Linked DNA regions of Tamandua tetradactyla. The protein of the gene in region 2 interacts with the protein of the main gene of each other region in a pairwise test. Links are inferred from orthologs where the notes say so. Each region holds a gene or a part of one and is shown on either strand. Other genes may lie near its edges.

Region 1 (7,165 bases), on a different chromosome or scaffold from region 2:
TAAGGCACAGCTAAGATATGGAAGGTATAAAATAGCATTATCCATCCCTTGTCACAACCTATAAGGTAAGGAAACTGAATGTATAAGTTTTTCCTCGGGGTATAATTTTAGAGATTTCTTAATGTAAATAGAAGAAGATTCTAATTTTTATTCTGTTTCACCTACAATAGTTTCTTCTCTTAACTTCATTTTCTGTAATGTATTGAAAATAAGAGAGTGTTACATCCATACTTTGTCCAGTAATTCAACTTTGAGGAAACTTGGTTTCTTCCTCTGCAAAATGGAGATTATAACCTCACTGGGAAGTTGTAGAAATTGTGCTCAACTGTTAAAATTTAGTGATAATGTACATATTGTGCTTGAAACACAATCAGCACTCAACAAATTGTATACATAGCCATAATTTTCTGTTAATGCCACCACATCTTTCTTGACCAAGTTTGAAAATATTTCCTTTATCCTTCCCACCCATATAAAATAAATTATCTTTTGGCTCTACTTTGAAAATGTTCCTTGTGATTGTCCTCTCCTTTCTATCTCTACTGTCACTGTCCTAATTCAGGCCTTACTTAATTTTCCCTACTCAAACCATTTTGTGTTGGGCAAACAGGTAAGTCTTCCTGAAACATGCTTTTCTGCTTCCTTGTTTAAAGCAAACACTTCAGTGGCTCTCCAGTGTCTACCAGCTAAAGCACAAACTCTGATGTTGAAGGTCTTCACAACCATACCTTTCTAATATTCTTTTCATTGTGCCCAACAGAAACCCTGTGCGACAGTCAAATTCGTTAGCCTGTCCTCCAGATCCAATTCTTTCTTCGGATCTACCTTGGAACCAATTTCTAATCACCCAATCATGTTGTTTCTAATCCCTTATAGGACTTCTAGAACATGGTGACACTTCTGTAGCATGTATTATATACTGAAATGTATTTGGATAGTGCCATAGGATAATGGTTAAAAGCCTAGTTACTACGGCCAGCTGTCCTGATTCAATTAAGAGACCACCTTGAATATAATACCCTACCATGGTAAGCACTCAATAACATTAACCATAATAATTATTATTGTTGTTGTATACATTTCTTGTCTCCCTAATAAAATGTTGCTAGAAATAAAAATCTTTGTATATCGATGGTACTTTTCTCAATTTTTGCCCTGTGAGCTTTTATGAGGCTTGCAGTTTGAATTAGTTGCTCACAATGGCTTTCTTACAGGTTCTGGGTTGACTTCCTTTTCTTCTTTTATGATGTGATAACTTCCGTTGCTGTAAGGGCTATGCTAACTCACACTCACTGTGATGTGTGATTTGAGCATACAGTTTTGTGCCCAACTTTTGTTTAGGGTTGATAAAACAAATAGTTTAACACGAGTATGTATGTGAATAAAACAATTGTCCTAAAGTAATAGGACATTGTCTTACAATTAATACTCACTACTGAATGTTCTCATGTGAAGAAGTGCCAAGTAGCTTATTAAGAACTGCCTCAAAAAGCTTTCATAAGTGCCCCTTATCTTGCCAAACTCGTTTTGTATAATGATTGGGAAAGAGGCTGGATTGATGAAAGAATAACATTTTATTTGAGATCTCAAAGCATTCAGCAAGACTGCACTCCATTTTGCAGACTGGGAACACTGACGTTTGCAGTGCTTCAATACATTTCCTTTGCCATCTAGGGAGAGGGAAGGACAAGCAACAGAATATCTTACATTCCAAAATATGCTGGGCTTTTCCTGAGTAATTGCACTTCTATTTTATCTTATGGCCATTGTGAGTGTACAACCAGACAGATTTCCCCTTCTGCCCTGCCTAATGAAAAAGAGTCAAATTTCTGGTTTATCTAGGGTTAGAGTATAAGACTTTAGCAACAAGTGCATTTCTTTTCCTGATTCCATGTTATCCTTATTTTTCCTTATTCTTTCCTACCCATTTTCAATTTGAGTCATCTTGTTCTAATATATATCTTTGTAAGGATCTGAAGTCTCTTTTCATACAAGATGGGCAATAAATACATTAAAACTAGTTTTGACACTCTTCACTTTTCCATTAGACTAAGGCTGGTTGTATAATGCAAACGCCACACCCTTTGGAGAGACCCACACTTGGGTTTGAATTCCAGCTTTGATACTTAATAAAAGTGGGACCTTGGGCAAATTACTTAAGCTTTCTAAGTTCCCTCTCTATAAAATGGAAATAATAGTTCAATAGTTCATCTCACAGAGATGACTTGTGGATAAAGTAAGACAATTCATGTAAATTACTTGGTGCGTAGTAGGCATTCAATAAATGTCAATTCCTTTCTTCTCCTAGTTGCTTGTTAAACTATATTAAAAACTAGAACTGGACTGTGATAATGCATTTCTTAATATTAAGTATTTAAGCCAATAACTAATTTCCCCCAGGGGGGAACAGAGAGAAATGTTTGAATTAGTTTCATTTGGGGAACTTATTTTCATAATCTTTTTTTCTTCAGCATGATTTAGCTTCACGGTCCCCAATTAGTTTTTATGCAACAAAACGTCACAGTTCAGTATTCCTCTTAACTCTACTGTGATTGTTGTTTTTATCTATTATTGCATCTGCTGCTTATTAGAGATCATTATTAGTCATATTAACAGTTGAATTGGTTTTTATAACTCCTTCATACTGTCAAATGTTTGCTCTCAACAATTTCCATGAGTTCTAAGGATTTAAAAGAGTCAAGTTTTTAATGGCAACGTTACAGCTCCAAACAAAACAAACAAGCCAAAATAACCCGGGCAGAAAAAAAAAATCTCCCCTCGACCGTGTTCTTTCGTGTTAATTTTATACGTTTGCAATTAAGTAGAGCTACGTTTGCCTTAAGGCCGAAATCAAAATGTGCTGAGATCTGAGAAAGGAAAGAAAAGTGGAAAGTGACTAATTGAGCTGGAACTACGGTACCGTTGCACCTTTAAGGCCTGGAGACTTGGTATTAGCTCGGCCTCCTTCCCAGCCCACCTCTGAACTCTGATTGACAGGTCGCCCGGCGAGGAGGAGCAGAAGGAGGCTGAAGAGGAGGTGCAGTGAGGAAAGTAGCGAGAGGAGGGGCCCGTCTTTTCTCTGATGGCCAATCAGCGGAGGGGGGCGGGGCTCCGCACGCCCTCCTCCCTCCTCTTCCCCGCCTCCTGGTGTCCCCGCCCCCTCTCCCCTTTCCTCTGCCCCCTCCCCTATCCTCCTTCTCGTCGTCCTCCTCCTTCTCCTCCTCCTCCTCTCAGGCTGTGGTTTTTCTGTATATGTTTCTGGAGTCCTGAGCCTGAGCTAAACAAAAGCAGGAGGCTGACGGGGTTGCTGGAGTTTGCAGAGACACGGAGGAGAAGAGAGCCTGTGCTTTGCCTGCTGCCGCGGCTGGGGGAGATCTGGCTTTTGCAACAGCCCACCCCCTTTGAGATCACTCTGGCCCGGAGTGGGGGTGGGGGCAGCGGGGGGTGGGGGGGGGAAAGTTTGCATTGCAATCCCCCTGCCTTCCTTCCCTTTCTCCCGATCAATGCATATTTGCAAAAGGATTAAGCTACAGATTTAAGCGCCGGGACCCATTTCTGCTTTGCAAAGGAGACCGGACTGGGAAACCAAAAGCCAGCTCTGATTTCTTTTCGCCAAGTGGGAAGGTGGTTTATTTTTCTTGCTTTTTTGGAGTCAACACCCTTCCCCGCCAGCCCTTATCCCCACCCTCACCCCGCAACCCCTTCACGCCCCCTCCCCCTCCCCACTCCCCATCCTCCCACCATCCTCTAAAGAGGCAAAGGGATTTTTTTTTTCTTTTGGTCTTCTTTTTCTCTCCTTCCCTGTTTATCCTGAAAAGGATTTGAAGACAGCTTGAAGGATAAAAAGCCTTGGTGCTTTCCAGGAGCCAAGCCGAGAAGAAGAGGAAGAGCCGGGGCCGCCGTTGCCTTTGGAGATGGACGAGCAGCCCAGGCTGATGCATTCCCATGCTGGGGTCGGGATGGCCGGACACCCCGGCCTGTCCCAGCACTTGCAGGATGGGGCCGGAGGGACCGAGGGGGAGGGCGGGAGGAAGCAGGACATTGGAGACATTTTACAGCAAATTATGACCATCACAGACCAGAGTTTGGATGAGGCGCAGGCCAGGTGAGATGGAGGCTTTTCTTTTCCTTTCTTGGGTTTTTTTGTTTGTTTGTTTGTTTTTCCCCCACTCGCTGAGGGGAAACAATGGGAAGCGATCACCACAGCGCTTTCTTTTTAAATGTTATTTCTTTTCCCATTTTGACGAGCAGCTACATGGCGGAGGAGTAAAATTTGCAGGAGCGTTGTTATCGAAAGTGTAATCGCCCATGCCGTGATGTGGCTGTGTATACATATATCTAGATAGATGTGTGTGTATGAATATAGAAATACTCATATATAGCCACAAAAACATTCAGGGACGCTGAAAATGCTGCCAACTGATCCAGAAGCGGCCCTCGGCACTATTTACTGCTTTTAAAAAAAGTATCAGAGAAAGCAGAATTGTCAAGTTTTGAGCAGCATTCCATGCCTTCTTATTGAGGGACTCCGTTACATTACAAATAAAAGGTCCCAGGAACACTTTATTTGCAAATTTAGTTGTCTCCTTGCCTAATTCAGCGCAATTTTCTTTCTTGACTTACCCCTCCAAAATTAATGATATTTTCCCCCTTTATTCCCCCCCCTTCAAAAATCAGGGCATTTCTTTGTCAATAGTTGTCAGCTATCCGGAGAATATTTTGTTTTCACTTAATTCTATCTCAAAAAAAAAAAAACTAGTGGAAAGAAAGAGAATACAATTTTGCATTTAGACATATTTGTTCGGTCTAAGAGACTGAGATAATTCTGTTTAACTTTATTGTCTCAATTTGAGTCGGTTTACTAACCTTGGGTGACACGGACAGCTCTGTATGGTCCTTTAAAAAGGGGTGGGGGATAAAAATTAAGCATGCTCTTTTCCCCATGCTTTCTTCAGCACGGCTTAAAATGCAACTAAATAAAAAGGAAAGCATGTGTGAATTTTATGTATTTCAATACTGTAGGGCATGAAGATCTTCATTAAGGAAAAAGAAGCTGTGAAGCTTCCCAACTTAATCCACCGCCAGGTATATAGTCCTCCACTCTAGGATTTTACAGTAAATTCTCTTTCAAATAAAACAGACTAAGTGGCAACCTACTAACAGCTTGTCCAAGGCGGAGCTCAAAAGGGAGAATTTTAAAAACTAATGACCACATATGTCCATTCAATTACCCAGCTTTGTTAAATCTCAGAAGTATTCTCCTCATTCTGAAAATCTTCTAAACATATGTACATCATTCCTATATCGCAAATAGACTTAGTTATAGTAGTAGAAGACATCATTACATCATTATATGTATTTTGTCTTAAGGGAAATAGAAGTTTGAGTTGAGAAAATGAGAAGTGGTAGTAAAAAGCATGAATGCATGAATTACAGTCTTATTTTAGCTGTAAGCACATGCAACATGTAAACTCAAAAGTACTGAGCTTTACGGGTGCTCGAAAACTTGGAAATGTTCAAAGACTCGAACTATTCTAATTTTTTTTAATGGGGAAAAGTTTTCAGAAATTAATTGCTGTTCTTTGTGAATTTTATTACCTGTTCTCTTTTGAATTGGAACAGATTTCTCCATTACATTGATCCAGAAAAATACTCTGGATTATTTGCAAGTTTGTGAAGTGGAAGAGGCCAGTAAAAACGGTTACACACTACTTTTCTGATGTGTTGTCCTTCATTTTTTATGAAACTGAGGACAAACATGGCTTTGGGGGGGTCCCCCTTTTAAAGGCCTGGATGCTTAGAAAGATCAGACCATTTGGGGATAGGGAAATTCTCTGTTCTAGTACCCCATTTGTATGTTATGGAAATGGAATATTTGTGTAAGGCTGTGCAGGGATTTTTGTTTACACTTGGGCCTATGTTTAAGAATACAATTAATGAAAACTATTTTAAAAGATCACAAAAGAGGTCTTGAGTACATTAAAGAAGTCTTTTCTGCCCTTTCTCTCATTCCATATGAGGACTGATTAAATCACCAGTCTGCTTTCTTTTTGGTTAAACGATGTAACTCTATGTAGCAAATACTATGTCCTTTTTTCTTTTTCTCCAGTCATACCTTCATGATGTATATTAATGATTTACTCTGTAAATCATTAATATTTTAGACACAGACTGTGAGTTTATTTGGATAGTCATGAATTCTGAGCTTGTTAAACCTCTGCTCTACATTATTTACAGTATGCTTCTGGTTCATGAGGATGTGTATCTATTTTTTAACTTTCAAAGGGTTTAAAAATAAATTGCATGTGTTTTGAGAGCCAAGGATTTCCATTTATCTTTACACATTCATTTTAGTTAACAGAATTCCCTTGACTAATAGCTGATAGGACCAGTATTTTGTTTCCAAAACAATATCCTTCTGCTAAATGATTTTATAATAAAATAAAGGAAAAGGTATTGTTTTGTTCCTCTGGTGCATTCTGAATTCAAACACATGCAAGAATCAGGTAAATCACTAATCTAAAAGGCAGAATAGTATTTATTTTTTTCCCCAATGGGTGCAAGATTCTAATTGTAAATAATTGAATTTCAACACCTGCAAACAGGCAGTGTGTGCACAAGAGGCATAATGTGAACACCGAGAAATGAATTTATTCCCCATATGGGTATGTTTGCCCCCTGGCAATGCATTTCCATACTCTTTAAGTTGGGGACTGAAATTTTATAAATTGACAGTTCTACACAGAAGACCTTTCAAGCATCTTGTGTTTATGAGAATACAGGGGCATCTGCGGAATGAATTCGAACACATGGATGAATTAAATTTGAAAACACACACACAGACCGGGAGGCAGACGGCTCCTAGGCTGTGGTGGTTGCATAGATTATTCAGAACTGTTAACACATGCATTTGGCCTTGCTGTACTCATTGCTTTGGCTAGGAGTATTGGTTTAAGAATTCCACTTTGATTAAACTACTTAAAAAACAACAACAACTTTGTCTAAATGGGCATAATTTAGGTTAGTTCTGTTCTGCAGTTAAATCCCTATTCTCTCCCTACTGATGAACAGTATTTCTTTTTCTATGGTGGGACTCGCATATTAAGTCATAAAAACAACCGAAGCATGCCACAGAGTTACGCTTGGGATATAATTTTGGCTAAAT
Region 2 (7,165 bases):
TCGTCAATCGGTCTGAATTGTTGTTATGCAGATGTAACAGCCAGAGAAGAAACAATTTTCTTTTAATGCTAGTGAGGTCTTTCTAAGTGAAGGCTGTAGGGACACTAACCCACCTCACATTATCACTTGAGAGAAAAGGAGATGATAAAGAAGCAGGAGGAACCACGTTGAATGTTGAAACTCTGTGGCCAATAGCTATAGAGCGAAGTTGAGCTTTACAAAAGAAGCATTTATCAAGGACATTTAGGAGTATCTTTTTTTTTTTAAGGAAAGTAATTGGCTCTTATTTAACAGGACATTTCAAACAACAACAATCCTATTGGCGACAATAAATACCCAATATTGAAAATAAGAACAAACGGAAGAGTAAAAACTGGAAAACTGACTTAAACTTCTCAGCCAGCTGGGCTGCACCAGGTTCTTTGGATCCACCAATATCAAGATCTCTGCTAAGTCGAAAACACTACGCGGCGAAACCAGATTGTTTTTTCCTCCTCATCTTTTCCACCCCGGCTAAACTGAAAAGTGAATTCGCCTAACTGCCGCGTGAAATTACAATTTTTAAAAAATGCTGGAGACAAACTTTTCTCTTCTTTTGCGTCTTCTTTTATTTTTTACTCACCTTTTCTTATATGACGACGAGCAACTCAGCAACAAGCAAGAAGGATGTCTTTAATCTTGGAATTCTTCTAGGAAAAAAAAAAATGAAGTAGAGGGGGAAGGGCCCTTCCTGCAAAATTCGAGTGTCCTAATCGTAGGCTCTCGCAGGCTTGACGTCGGGCAAAAGAGTGGCTGAAAGCTAGACTCTCCTTTCCTGACGCTGGCGGCCCGCAGCCCGGTTCCCTGGCGTAGCGCTACCGGCGCTGCTGCCAGCCCCTCCGCCCTTTCTTTATATGTGAGGGCAGATTTCCCGCAGACATCACTGTTATGATGGCTCATTTAATCAAACTGTTTAATTGCTCTGGTAATCACTATCATCATCACAGGTGCTCAATCATTCATCATTTTTGGAGGGCTTTATTGACCTCCGCAGCTCATTCCCCAGCCCTATTAAAACGCGGCCAAATTTCTGACTCCGCTTGAAGTCTCTGCAAGCTGCGATCTAAGCTTACTTTGTGTTGCCCGAAAGCTTACAAGAGAGCAGTGGAAACAGAAAGGGGGCAAAAAAAAAAAAAAAAAAAAAAAAAAAAGCCATCCCACCCTTCCTCCCTAATTTCTCTCTCTCCTTCCCTCTCCCTCTTTCTGACACACACACACACACACACACACACACACACACACACACACACACAAGCGCGCGCGCGCACGCACAACCCCTTCTTTCCCTATCGGGGCAGTCGCGCGGAAGACAAGCTACTTTCTACTTTCCAGAATGGGTTCAAAGTTGAGGAGGGAGGCTGCTGTTGAGGAACAATCTGTTTTCGATTCTCTGGGCAGGGGACCATGAAAGAGGACGAGAGCGAAGAATTGGGGAGAACGCACCCTCGGAGCGCCTGGCCAGGAAGCCAAGAGTCTGGGGGCGGCGTGAGCGACCACACGGCGCGCGCGGAGTGACCGTGGCCCCGCCCCCCAGCTCCGGGCTCGGCTTGATTGACGCACGGCCGCGGGGAAACTAGCCGCGCAGAGAGGTAAGGCCCGGTACGACTCGGGCCAGGGATTGGGCGAGATACCGGCCAGAACTAATGTCCACAAACTGTGTGGGGTAGTTACCTTCCTTCCCCCACTCTCCTTTTTCTTTCTGGAAAAGTTCTTTCGGAGTCAACCCCATCTTTCTGAACGAGCGAATTCGCCCCGGTGTAATTAACAGAGCCATTAGCAGACGTTACCGCGCGGAGGCCGCTGCGCCCTGGGCGACCACAACAAAGCTGGGTAGGGAGCGCCGGCCACTCCTCCTTCCACGGCATCTTCTCTCTTTCTCTCTCCCTCGCTCCCTCCCACTGCCCCCTCCACCCCCGCCTTCTCTCCCCCAGGCTTCCCAGCTCTAAGTGAAACCCACTTTTGGAGACGCACACCAGTCTCTCTCTCACATGCACGTACACAAGCACACACCGTTGGCGACATCGGGCATCAGACGTCCGAACGGCACCCTTCCGACTGCCTTTCCACTCCCTTCCTCCCTCCTCCGCCGCGGCCCTTCTAAGACTCTCCCGGGTGGCCCTTGTCCGCACAGCCTTCGGGGAGAGCGCCCAGAGTTAATCTGGTCTCTTCTTGTCCTGGAGAAAAAAAAAAATGAGTATTGACAAACGTCCTGGATCTGCACAGGGCAAAAAGTGCCACATTAAAAAAAAAAAAAAAAAAAAAAAAGTCTAGCCCGGCGGTGGTACCCTCTGTGGAACGGAGGCTGCTGCCCTGGGGTGTTACCGGCAAGCCTTCGGGGGGTGGTCATCGGCAGGCAGAGCGAGTCGGGGGCCGAGGAATTAAAAGGAACAAAAGCAAGAGCGCCATGCCAAACGTCCCCGCCGCGACTCAGTTAGGCAGGAGCCCCAAGTAATGGGAAAATGAACTAGAAGTAAGTTTTTAAAAAAATAAAAAATAAATAAAAGATCGGAGGCTGTACCGTACTTTCCCTGTGGTTTTCTGCAGTTTTCCTTTCTGTGCTCTCCCTGTCCTCTTCATTCTCTCTCTCCCCCTCTCTCTCTCACTCTCCCCGTGCGCGCGCGCGGGCGCGCGCGCGCGCGCACACACACACACACACACACACACACACACACTCCTCTTCCTCCCCCTGCCGTCCCCGCGGAGGAGAAGGCTCACTGATTTGCTGGGGTCCGCTCGGCTCCTGCCTCCCCTCCCCCTCCCGCTCCCCGCCCCCCTCCCCCACCCCCCTCCCCAGCCGGGGCAGTCCGATCGCACTCGCTGCATATCAGAGGCTCGGCGCGGCGCGCTCCTCCTCGCTCCCGCTCCCCACTCCCGGGATGTGTCTCCGCCGTACGACGGGCTATGGCCACCACGACTTCCGGGTTCCGTCATTTCGTTCTCCCGCCGCCGACCCTCGCCGCCAAACTGAGGCTCTTCTATAAGCCAGGCAGCAGCCAACCTGCCAACACCTACTGACACTCACTCATCTCCCAGAGAGAGAGAAAGAGAGCGCGAGAGAGCGAGCGCGAGTGAGAGCGAGCGAGCGAGCGAGAGAGGGAGAGACAAAATACCTACCAGGAAAGGGGGGGAGGAAGTCCAATTTTTGCAAACTATTTATTTTTTTCTTGATTTTTTACCCTCTGCTTTCTTTGAAAAATACTTTAACGAGAGAGGATCATATTATAGATACCGCGGGGGCAAAGCCAAAAGAGGGGGGGGAGGGGGAGGAAAAAAATCAAGAAGCAGAAACCCCTCGCGGAGTTTTGCTGGAAGAGAAAAAAAAAAACGGTCTGAAAGATTCCTCCTCTTCATCATCATCAACCATCATTCATTCACTACCTTGACATTCCGGGCTTTGATTGACAGCTGGAGTGGCAAAAAGCCATGAAACACGACAGTTCGGTTACATGTGGGCTGCTGACGGGCCGCTCGTAACCTTCAGTTCGGGGGCTTGACAATTTTTTTTTCTTCTTTTTCTTCTTCCTTTTCTTTCTTTCTTTCTTTTTTTTTTTTTTTTTTTCCAACTGAGGGGAAGAAAAGAGAAAGAGGGGGAAAGGAGGACCGAAGAGGAGGAGGAGGGGAGGGGGGAGGAGGAGGAGGTGGAGGAGGAGGAGGAAGATCAGGAGGAGGAGGAAGAAGAGGAAAAAAGAGAAAAAGAAGAAATATCACAAGGAAAAAAAAACTCTTCGTTGTCTTGCCTGGGCTTTTTTTCCCCTAAAAATAACATATTGGAGAACTGGGAGAAGTCTCCTTGGTCTGGGAAAAAAAAAGGACTCTTCAGCCTAGATCACTTTCTTATCCGGACTGGGATATTAAATATACGACACATCCAGGAGTTTATTGGAGCGCAGACTGATGGCGCAAAGGGTAGGTTTAAATCTCCAACACTTACCTAGATATAAATCCTCTCCTAAGAGGGGCCTGTCCCGAAGCCTCTTCTCCCTTCAACGCTGCTGCTGCTGGTGGTTGCTTGATGATGGCGGCCAGTATTTTTTTTAAAAGCAGCAAAATTATTCATCGGCTTCTTTCCCCCCCGTGCCTCTGCGTGTGTGCGAGTGTGTGTGCGTGCGTGTGTGCGTGTCTGGGCGCGCGTGTTCCAGCGCTGTGCGAGCGGGCGGACGGCGAGTGCGTGTGAGTGCTGTGTGTGTGTGTGTGTATGTGCAATTGTTACACGCTTTCGCCTCGCTCCAGCTTTTACCCCAGCAGCGCGATTCCCCTGGTTCTCCTGCTGCCGCCGCTGCCGCTGCCGCGCCGCTGCCGCCGCTGCTCCTGCGGCTCGGGGCGGGCACCGGCTGCGTAGGAGCCGCCGCCGCCGCCGCCGCCGCCGCCGGGGCCGCTGCTGGGGCCGCGTTGCCGCAGCCGCTGCGCCGCCGCCTAGACTAGCCTGGGCTGCTTGTTTTGTCTCTGAAATTGACAAGGACGCAGGGAATCCGCTGCTAAATAATGTTTCTGGTAACTTTCACGTTATTCCTCCCCCACCCTCCGCTCCCTGCCCCCCGGGAGGCACTGGTCCCAGCCTTTCCCCGTCCTCGGCGATCTCGTCCTGATTATTAGCTTTTTTTCTTCTTTATTTTGTTTCATTTCGCCTTTTGATTTATTGGATCCTCTGGAGGAGGCGAAGGGGGGTTAGGGGTGGGATCGGGGCTTCCTCCGCACACTAACTGCACTTCTCCGTTGGTTGGCTCGCCGCGGTTCTGCTGCCTCCCGACCGAGCGGGGCCTCCCGGAACCCCCTCGGTCCCCGGCCTAAGCTCCCCGCCCTCTCCCTTCTCTAAGCTGCTCCTCGTTCATACTTTTTCATTTTAAAATTTAAGAACATTCCCCCCCCACAACTTTAAACTCCGTGGTTTTCGCTGGTTTGGTTTCTGTATGTTCAACTCGTGCTCGGTACTTTTCTCCTTTCTGACTTCGCTTTTATTTTTATTTTCCCCTCTCCTTCCTCCGTTTTTTTTTTTTTCTTGCACCATATTCTCTCTCTCTCTCATACTCTTTCCTTTTCTCTCTCCCTGTCTCTCTCCCTCTCTTTCTCCCTCTCTCTCCCCCTCCCGCCCTCTTCTCCTCCGCTCTATTTTCCTTTCCCTCGGACTCCCTCTCTCTTTCTCATCTGATCCTTTCCCACTTCTCTCCTCATTCCCCCTTTGCCCCGCTGCCTACTTTCTCTCTTCCTCTTTCTGCTCTCCCCGGCTCTCTCTCACCTCCTGCCCACCACCTTCCGTCCTGCCGGGTTCTGACAGTACGATGAGCTGCCCCATTACGGCGGGATGGACGGAGTAGGGGTGCCGGCTTCCATGTACGGAGACCCTCACGCGCCGCGGCCGATCCCCCCGGTTCACCACCTGAACCACGGGCCGCCGCTCCACGCCACGCAGCACTACGGCGCACACGCCCCGCACCCCAATGTCATGCCGGCCAGCATGGGATCCGCTGTCAACGACGCCTTGAAGCGGGACAAGGACGCGATCTACGGGTAAACCGACCTTCCCGGACCCAGCTTACTGTGTGTGAGTGTGAGTGCGAATGTGTATTTGTCTCTGTGGGGTTAGGGTGTGGACGAAGTGGGGAGTTATGTCTGCTTGGGGGGAAAGCCACTTGCCTTAGGAAAGGACAGTGAAGGGGGGCCGCTCTTCTGCCTGCTAAAAGTCCCCGGAAGATTTGGCCTCCTCCACCCCCAGGGCCCCTCCACTCCGGACCCCACAGCCCCGGAGTGACCAAGTCCTCAGAATCCTTCCAGGGCCTTCTGCCCAAGGGCAGGACTCCTGGCCGAAGGGCGCAGAGCTGGTCCTTCCAGGCCCCCTAACAGAGGCCTTGACGAAGGGGAAACTTTCCTCCTGATGAGAAGCAACTTTGTTTTTTGTTTTGTTTTGATTTCTCTTCTGTTTCCTACCGAGGGTCTGGGAGGCAGTAAATGCAGCTTGAGCTGGGATCAGGGCTCCTTCTGTCGGCCAGGAAGTCCTAATCACCCACTCCTTAATTCTCTGTAAATAAAGGGGGCAGAACTTGAAGTGCAGCGGGGTGGAAGGGACTGCTGCTTGCAAAGAGCCGCTCTTGGAGGGAGAAAAGGAGAGGGCTTGAAATTATTTTATTTTCTGAGAGAACTCCGGGAGGGGTGGGGGTGCACGGTGGCAAACTTACACCGCACCGGCTCTGCAGACTGAGGGTAGGTGGGGATAGGCGGCGGGATGCTGAGGGGAGGAGACAGTCGGTAAACCCCAACTGAACCCCGAGGCCAGAGGCCGCAAGCATCCCGAAGTGCAGCGAAACCGCCCGGAGGAACACAAAGGGCAAACGCGCACGCACACTTCCAAATTTTAACACTCGAATTGTTTATTTTGGGCTGGAGCAACCATGGGAGAAATGTGGTCTTTGGAAGGAGGTTCTTCAGCGTTCAACATTCTTATTATTTTGTCCCCCACGCCCGAACTTTACTAGGAGTAAAGCAAACAAGTTTATAAGGCAAGGGGGTGGAGAGGTTAGAAGAGCACTTTCTCGGATTTAGGAAATATCATTCCGGGTGTGTATATAGGTGAAGGCTTCGGCCTCCTCTGAAATTCTTATTAAAAAGCGGAGCGGAAACAAATTTTGATTTTAGAGGGTTTTCCTTTCTTAGGAGGTCAAGGCTGGGTCGCAGGGGTTGGTTCGGTGGCCTGTGCGGTGGTGGGAGTGGGTAACCCTGAGCTTCTCGTATGTTTCCTTGCGTTTCAGTTGAGGCTGTTTTTACTTGGCGGGCTAAAGTGGCCAGGGGGCTTCTCTGACCAGAGCCGGGGGTGGGGGTGGGGGGACTTCTGGGCTGAAGGAAAAGGTCAGGACGTTTTTCCTTTCTGTTTCTGGGCCAGGATCGGCTGGCCGAGAAAGGGTTGTAAAGTGTGATGCGTGCCTGTTATGTTAAAGAAGGAATCCAAACCCTCCAAACTTGTTGATTACAGTTCTCGCTCCTTCCCCTCTGCACTCTGTCTCCCTGTGTGTGTCTCTGCGTGGCGCTGCCCGTTAGGCACCCGTTGTTTCCTCTGTTAGCTCTGGTCTTTGAGAAGTGCGAGCTGGCGACCTGCACTCCCCGGGAACCCGGAGTGGCCGGCGGAGACGTCTGCTCC
Region 3 (7,165 bases), on a different chromosome or scaffold from region 2:
GGCCTCTTTGCTATTCCTGGAACAAGCTGAACATGTTCCTGCCTCAGGACATTTGCACTGGCCCTGAATCCCAAATGCTCTTCCCTCAGCTATCCACCTGACTTGCTTCACTCAGGCCTCTGCTCAGTTGTCATCTCAGTGAGGCCTTCTCAGGCCACTGGTATGAGCCAGTAACTCACCCAGCTTTATTTTCCTACATGGTTCCCAACGCTACGAATTATACACTTATTTATTCATTTGTTTGTCTGAGTCCTCACCCTGGGACGCAAGTTCTGGGAGGGTAGGTGTTTGTATCCTGTTTACTGGTGTACCCCAAGGGCCTAGAACAGAGATTGGCACACAGTAGCTGCTCAGTAAGTGTGTGTGGTGTAAAAGGGCCTACAGCATTCCTTAAGCATGACCATGGTCCCCTGGCACCTCCCACTGGGACTGACCTTCCTGTCCCAGGAGACAACGTCAGAAGGGTCACTCCAGCAGGCACCTTCCAAGCCCTGGATCGCCAGGAGCTGCCACTTGGCTTTCTCTCTGGCTGAGACCAAGGAGAGCACTGGATTGGGAGTCAGGGGGCCGGAGCTGGGTGCCTTCCTGGCCACGAGATGGTGGCAGGTCACATTCCATCTGCCCGAGAGCACAGGGGAAGCACATCCAGGGGCCGTCCCGGCACAGCTCACCGATCAGGGGAGGGGGGACACACCCACAGAGGACAGCCGCAAATCCCACGAGTGCTGGTGGCCAGGCACGGGGAAGCTGAGAGAGTGGCTAGGAGGGTCGCAGAGATTCTCTGCAAGAGTGACCAGAGCCGAGCCAAAACAGGCTGTAGGTGGCAGGGCTGGGGGCAGGGGGAATGCTTCTAGGCCCAGTCACAAATCCTGGAAGTGGCTCGGCAGGTGGTTCTCAGGCCGCCTCGCCGGTGGGGAGGGAGAGGGAGGCTGGAGAGGAAGAGGCTGGCCCCATGGCAGAAGCTGATGTTGCCCGAGGGTGCTGGAACCTGTGAAGGGTTCAGCAGGATGGAGATGGGCCAGGCAGGGTTCCAGAAAGGCCACTGGGGCAGAAGGAGAGGGCAAAGTGGGAGGCAGCGAGGGCAGGCAGAGGCTGTTGAGGTCGGGGGCGAGGCGATGGTGGCGTCGGGGAGAGAAGCAGAAGGGTCTGAAATGGCGCAGAAGCAAACGGCTGGGGCTTTGGGTCCCTCACCTGAAAACAAGGGGGTCAGACTGGGCTCTCAAAGGACTTCACATCTCTAACAGCTTACAAAGTTTATGCATCCACTCCTCTCCCCACCCTTTTACTAATGAGTGGAGGGGCGCAGGGAGGAGAGGCCCAATTAATTTTCCATGTCCATGCGTAGACACCATCATGGCTTGCAGAGAAGGGAGGGAGGGGGAGTGGGTTGCATGCATCCCCCTGCATCCTAACCTGCGGGCGTGACCTTATTTGGAGAAAGGGTCTTTGTAGATGTAATTAAGTTGAGGACCTCCAGACAAAGTCGTCCTGGATTCTCTAGGTGGGCCCTAAATCCAGAGACCGATGTCCAACTAAGGAACAGAAGACAGAGATGTAGAGGGGAGGCTGTGGGAAGATGGGAGAGAGACGGGAGGGGCGTAGCCACAAGCCAAGAGACACTGGGGTGGGGAAGGGTGGGGCACCCAGAAGCTGCACGTGGCTGAGCAGGACCCTCTCTCAGAGGCTATGGAGGCACAGGACACCTCCATTTCAGGTTCTGCCTCCAAGACTGGGGGAGAAGATCTGTTCTAAGTCCCCAACTGCCTGCGGTGATGGGTTATTGCCAGGGCTTTGCCAGGCAACTGCAGCCCAGGGAAAGGCGTTTTTATTTAGGTTAGGGCTGTGAACTCCGTTCTAGCCCAGTTGTGAGCCCTTCCGTCACTCCTGGGATTTAGAGAGGCCCGGGAGGGAGACCCAGGCATGGGGTGCAGGGAAGGGCAGCCCAGGGGAGCACGAGAGCCCTGGCCCCTGCCTGCCCTGGCCGGGGCACCGATCAGCCTTTCTGGCAGCACATCCTCTGCCTTTGTTTGCCAAAGGTGGCTTCGGGGTAGAGGCAAGTGCGGCCCTGCTCCACCTGGCTGCACCTGCCAGCGGCTGCTCCCTCTAAGCCGGGGACGGGCAGCAGACAGTCTGGGAGGTGAGTTCCTCTTCCCCATCACAGGCCAGCGGCCACCGGTGTGAACCCGAGCGAGCGTGCTCGGGCCGTTGGCCTGCAGAGGGGCAGGTGGGAAGACGTCTGCTAGCAGACCCGGGGTGAGGGATCACCCCTTAACCTGCTCCTACTGAGCTCAGCACTTCCCCGCTTTACTCGTTGGGTCCTCCCAGCATCCCCACGAGGTAGCTGCTGCCCCAGGCACTTTACATGGGGAAACTGAGACACGCTGACCTTCCCCATGTCAGCCAGCCAGAAAGGCGCACAAGAGGGGCGCAGCGGCTGTGGCCTCGGGCCCCTGTGTGTCGCAGGCACTGACCTCCCATGGCTGGGAGTGGGGCTGACCCTGCCAAACTGCAGACCCGCAGATAGGCGGCAGGGGACGGGAGAGGCTTGGGGCGACTCAGTGAGCTCCTGAGTGCTGGGGAGGGGACCGGGGGCTTGGGGTGCAGGAGATATCCCACAGTGACATGGCAGGTGTGGGGCGTGTGCTTTGGCCACTGTCCAAGCCCAGCTTTCTGTCCCCTGCTGATGGGTCTGGGACAGGGCTGGTGCGGCCCCTGTGCAGGGGTTCTGATCGGGTCTGATGATTGGAGCTGGGTTTCGGCTTTGTTCAGAGCCCCCAGGATTCTAATGTGCAGTGAACCCATCCTCAGAGGCCTGGGTTCAAACCCCAGCCCTGCCTGCCTTGGCAGGACCGGGGAGCAGGAACCAGGCAGTGCCTTGAATGGGACGAGCTGGACAGGGAGGGCTCGTGCCTTCGAGAACCGAAGCTCCCTAGGCCAGAGCCCAGTGCGGGGGCGGGGGGCTGCAGTTTATCCTGTGGGCCGCCAGCGCACACCTGGTGCCCAGAGCCTTCCTGGGGGGGTTGACCCCCGACACCCGGCGCCTATGGCCTGAGCTGCTCGGGGAGACCTGATGCCAAGGACGAGACCCCAGAAGGAGAACCCACCCCAGGCCCCCGTGCCCCCTCCTTGATACTCCTCACCATGTCCCAGGCCTGGCCCATGGTGGCGAGGGGATGGGGGCTGGTAAGGGCTGTGTTCTGGGGAGTGAGGGGTGCTGGGCAGCACGGCTGGGCCTGGCTGGGAAGCTGGTGGTCAGCTCTGGGTGCAGCAACCATGGCTGGTGGGCTTCAGTATATGGGGGACCCCTGCTAGCACCATTTACTGCTGGGGAGACTGAGGGTCAGGGGTCTGGGCACTTTTCCGAGATCTCGGTGAGGCAGTGGTGGCACTGAACTCCACCCAGGGATGGCGGGACAGGGGGCCTGGTTCCCTCCCCTGCAGAGCGCCTCCTGCTCTCTGGGCCGGGGGTCTGCACCTAGCCCTTCCAGGTACCCCCACCAGGCCCCAGGGCTCCCCCAGGGCACGTCTACCCCCCCATGGCGGCCCTCTTACCTGGTGGTGAGTGGGCTGTGTGCAGTGGGGATCGCAGGCATTGGCTGGGAGGAGAGCAGGCAGCAGTGGAGCTGGCCCTCCCCTGGGGGCCCCCCTGGATGTGACCACAGGGGAGGTGGGGATAAGAGGCCAGGCTGGCCTTTTTGTGGCATCACAAAGTCCTGCCTGGCGGCCGGGCCACCTCAGAGGAGCTCTGTCCGGCTCCTTCCTCTGCCGCCCTGCCAGGCTGGCCTCCACCTCCCCAGGGACATCCGGAAAGGGGCACACCTGGCCAAGCACATGAGTGGTGCCTGTAGGTGGGCACTGAAGGGCTCTGGGGGCAGACACCCCACCTCGGAGGGGCTTGTCTGCACCTGTGGTGAAGGGTGGTGTTGGGGGCCAGGTGAGCACAGGGGTGCAGAAGTCAGCAGGGAGAAGGGTGAACTGGGAGGGGAGGGAGAAAGGCAGACAGACAGACTTGCAGCAGCTGCCCTCTGGCTGGGGGGCCCTGGCAGGTCGCCGAAGCTGAACCACCTGAATTATCTACAGGGCCCGGCCATCCCGGTGCCAGGGGACAGCTGTTCGGGAACCAGGGCTCGCAGCAGCATTGTCCCCAACGGCTGAAATGTCGAAGCATCCCGAGGTCATGGCAGATGGATGAAGAAACAAAGTGAGAACACTGGAGTTTCACTCAGCTGCGAGGAGGGAAGTTCTGTTACATGCGACAACCCGGATGGACCTTGAAAGCATAATGTAGTGTGCAATAAGCCAGACACAAAAGGACAAGTATTGTGTGAGCTCCCAGTTGTGAAATAACTAGAATGTGCTGATTCACAGAGACGGAGCATAAATTAGAGGTGGCTGGGGGTGGTGGCCGGGGGATGGCTGGGGTGGGGTGGGGGTGGCAGGGGGGAGAGTTTCTACTTGGGGGATGGCAAAGTGTGGGCAATGGGGGGCGCACAGCACTGTGATTGTAATGAACCCCATTGAGCTGCACATCCAAGAGTGGCTAAGATGGGAAATGTTATGTTGCATATCTGTTACCACAATCAAAATGTTAAAACATTAAAATTGTTTTAAATTTAAAATGCCTGAACCATGGCTCAGACACAATCCCACCTGGGAGGTCACCTGCCCACAATGTGCCCTGGAGGTGGGGGGAGCGGGAACTAGGAGTTCCTGTTGCAGGGGGGAAACTGAGGCAAGGCTGACATGTCCAGTGCCCTTGAGGCTTTGCATGGAGAGAGTCTGGGTTCTACCTCCCACCCTTTGCCACTGCATCCTTGGCCTCCGGGGATACCCCCCACCCCCAACACCTGGTCAGGGCACTGCCATCCTGGGTCCCCCCCACTTCAAGGGCAGGGAGTTCCCCTCCTCGGTGCTGACACCCCTTTGGGGCCCAGGCTCCTCCACAGACAAACCCGAGGTAGGTGGAGGTGAGCCGTGTCTGCTGAGAGCCCTTCACGGGCTGGAGGACCGGGAGGCCAGCGGGCAGGGTGCTCTGTGTGGACCCCCCTCGAGACACGGCCCCAGGCCCTGGGGACCTTGTTTCTCAGAGGCGCCCATCCGCAAGGGGCTGGCTGTGCTGCCGAGGAAGCGCGCCTGCCTTCTCTGTGTGCATCCTGAGGCAGTGGGCATCCGTCTCCGGCCGTACCCCCAGGAGGTCTTCCTGAACTGACCCCAGCACGTGGCCTCCGAGCCCAGGGTGAGTTTGTGCCGTGATTTTAGGGGAGCACGCATCCGAGGAGATGGTGGGTGAGCTCAGAGATGCTCCAAAGCCATGTGCATCCAGGGAAGGCGGGTCCTGCAGGCCTAGGAAGGGCAAGTGTCCACCTCTCCCCAGCAGCAGGAGCGGCAGTGGGAGAAGCTAGACCACAGAAGGTTCTAGAAGCGGCTCTGGGCTGGCAGAATCCGGAAGCCTTGTGGCTGCTGCAGTGGCCTCCTCAAGAGAAGGAGAGTGGCCAAGGGCCTGTGGGGGGCTGCTAGGCCCCAGGCCCCATGGCCATGCAGAGGGACCCTCAATTCGTCACGTCCAACATTTTCCTTATTTTTTTCCCCAGCAGCCACAGAACCATTTTAATAAACAAAGATCTCACTTGGAATGCCAATTAATAAAAAAGCAGACCAACCAAAAGATGGCTCTTCTTTGGCTTTCATTTGTTTTGTAAATTCAGATGGAGACGTTTACTTACTGCCAGTTCAGTGAGGGTGGCCGGCTGGTGGTGATGAAGCCTGGATTAGGGCCCACAGCTGGGTGCTGGGGAAACGCACCGGCGCCTTCAGCCTGACCAGCTGCCCTCTGCTCAGCGTGCACAGCTGTGGTGTGATGTCAGTGGAACAGATGACTGAGGATGCCGGGTGTGTGCAGGGCCCTGGCGCCTGCATGGGGGATGAAGCTCAGGCACACAGAACCCCGCCCTTAGATGGGTACCGTGACCCGAGGGAAGCCCTTGGTGTCCTGCGCCCGACAGGTGGCTGTCACCAGTTCTGACATCAGCGTCTCAAGCCCTCCCTGGGCTCCGTGCAACATCTGCCCCTGGCGGCAGCAGCTGACCCCCCACCTTCCCAGTCCTTGGATGCAGCTGCCTTCAGGGGTGTCAGGCGGGGGGGGAGGGAAGCATGGGCTCCGGCGGCATGGGGATAAGGCTGTGCGGTGGTGGGTGCTGGGCTGGCACTGAGGGTGGGTTCCAGGTGGCAGAGATGCCCGCCTGTCTGTTAATGGATTAACTTGGGGCATGTGTTGGCAAGATGCAGCGCCCTCTACAGTGTGGGCCCCTGGCAGCACCCCTACAGCCTGGCCTGAGTCTAAGTGTGTCCGGGGACTGCCACTATGTTTAATTCCTTGCACGCCTCTTGGAAGCACTTTCGCCACCAGCTGCTTCCCTGCAGGGTGGAGCTACACCGGCCCAGAGTCTTGGGTGAAAACCTTAGCTTTTGGCCACGAGGCTGTTTTGAGGATGATGAAAAGGGGTGAAGCCAGGGCCGGGGGACCAGCGCTGACTCAAGCCAGCTGCCTGCGCCCGCGTCTCCCCCGGTGCACGGGCCTGAGGGCACACTCTGCTCTGCATGGACAGAAAGCTGCAAGTGACCGAGGCGCCCAGCACATCTCCCCGCATGGGCGCCCTCGCGGGGCAGCGGGGGAGTTCCGACGCAAGCGGGTTGTGGGCGCCAAGGCGCTCTTCTTTGCTACGTTGTATTTGGGTGGAGGGTGCTTTTAGTGCGTTTGAAAAATGAGTGCAAATGAGATTTTTGAAAGAAAATTTACCAAGTGCCCGTGGGGCTGTGGAAGGGGCGCAGAGCTGCGTCTGGCCGCAACCCAGCCGACCTCCACCCCTCAGCGCCAAGCCGGGCGGTCCCCACGCGGCCACAGCGCCGCAGCCTCTCCTGCCCGTCCTGCTCTCTGTCCCAGCCCCTCGGAAGGACCCGGCCTTAGAGAGGCCCGAGGGGAAAGCTGTTTGGTGTGTCGGGAGACAGACACCTTCACAGACTGCTTCCCCGTGTGTGAGATGTTTGCACAAAACAATAACCTCATTTAATCAAAGTGGCCGAGTTACTCTTTCTGAAGTCTCCTTCATTCAGAAGCCTGGGGGACTCTGAGTCCTCAGCGAGGACGTCTGCTAGGCTCAGCCCGTCC

What was found.
Region 1: the proteins of MEIS2 (region 2) and PBX1 interact in binary tests that used the Homo sapiens proteins (3 or more experiments, as listed by UniProt). The link is inferred for Tamandua tetradactyla from reciprocal best matches to the Homo sapiens genes MEIS2 and PBX1.
Region 3: the proteins of MEIS2 (region 2) and OSGIN1 interact in binary tests that used the Homo sapiens proteins (3 or more experiments, as listed by UniProt). The two-hybrid records come from large-scale screens. The link is inferred for Tamandua tetradactyla from reciprocal best matches to the Homo sapiens genes MEIS2 and OSGIN1.

What each region holds. Positions count from the first base shown.
Region 1 is NC_135330.1:17,809,260-17,816,424, forward strand, and holds the start of PBX1 (pre-B-cell leukemia transcription factor 1), read left to right. Parts: upstream 1-3,177; 5' UTR 3,178-3,624; exon of another isoform or gene 3,625-3,863; 5' UTR 3,864-3,914; coding exon 3,915-4,105; intron 4,106-7,165. UniProt on the Homo sapiens protein: Transcription factor which binds the DNA sequence 5'-TGATTGAT-3' as part of a heterodimer with HOX proteins such as HOXA1, HOXA5, HOXB7 and HOXB8. Binds to the DNA sequence 5'-TGATTGAC-3' in complex with a nuclear factor which is not a class I HOX protein.
Region 2 is NC_135340.1:50,203,149-50,210,313, reverse strand, and holds the start of MEIS2 (homeobox protein Meis2), read left to right. Parts: upstream 1-2,861; 5' UTR 2,862-3,933; coding exon 3,934-3,945; intron 3,946-4,436; exon of another isoform or gene 4,437-4,521; coding exon of another isoform or gene 4,522-4,530; intron 4,531-5,311; coding exon 5,312-5,544; intron 5,545-7,065; coding exon 7,066-7,165. UniProt on the Homo sapiens protein: Involved in transcriptional regulation. Binds to HOX or PBX proteins to form dimers, or to a DNA-bound dimer of PBX and HOX proteins and thought to have a role in stabilization of the homeoprotein-DNA complex.
Region 3 is NC_135342.1:78,631,862-78,639,026, reverse strand, and holds the start of OSGIN1 (oxidative stress-induced growth inhibitor 1), read right to left. Parts: upstream 3,673-7,165; 5' UTR 3,553-3,672; intron 1-3,552. UniProt on the Homo sapiens protein: Monooxygenase catalytic activity. Involved in regulation of cytokinesis; promotes RHOA activity, probably acting locally at the midbody in late cytokinesis.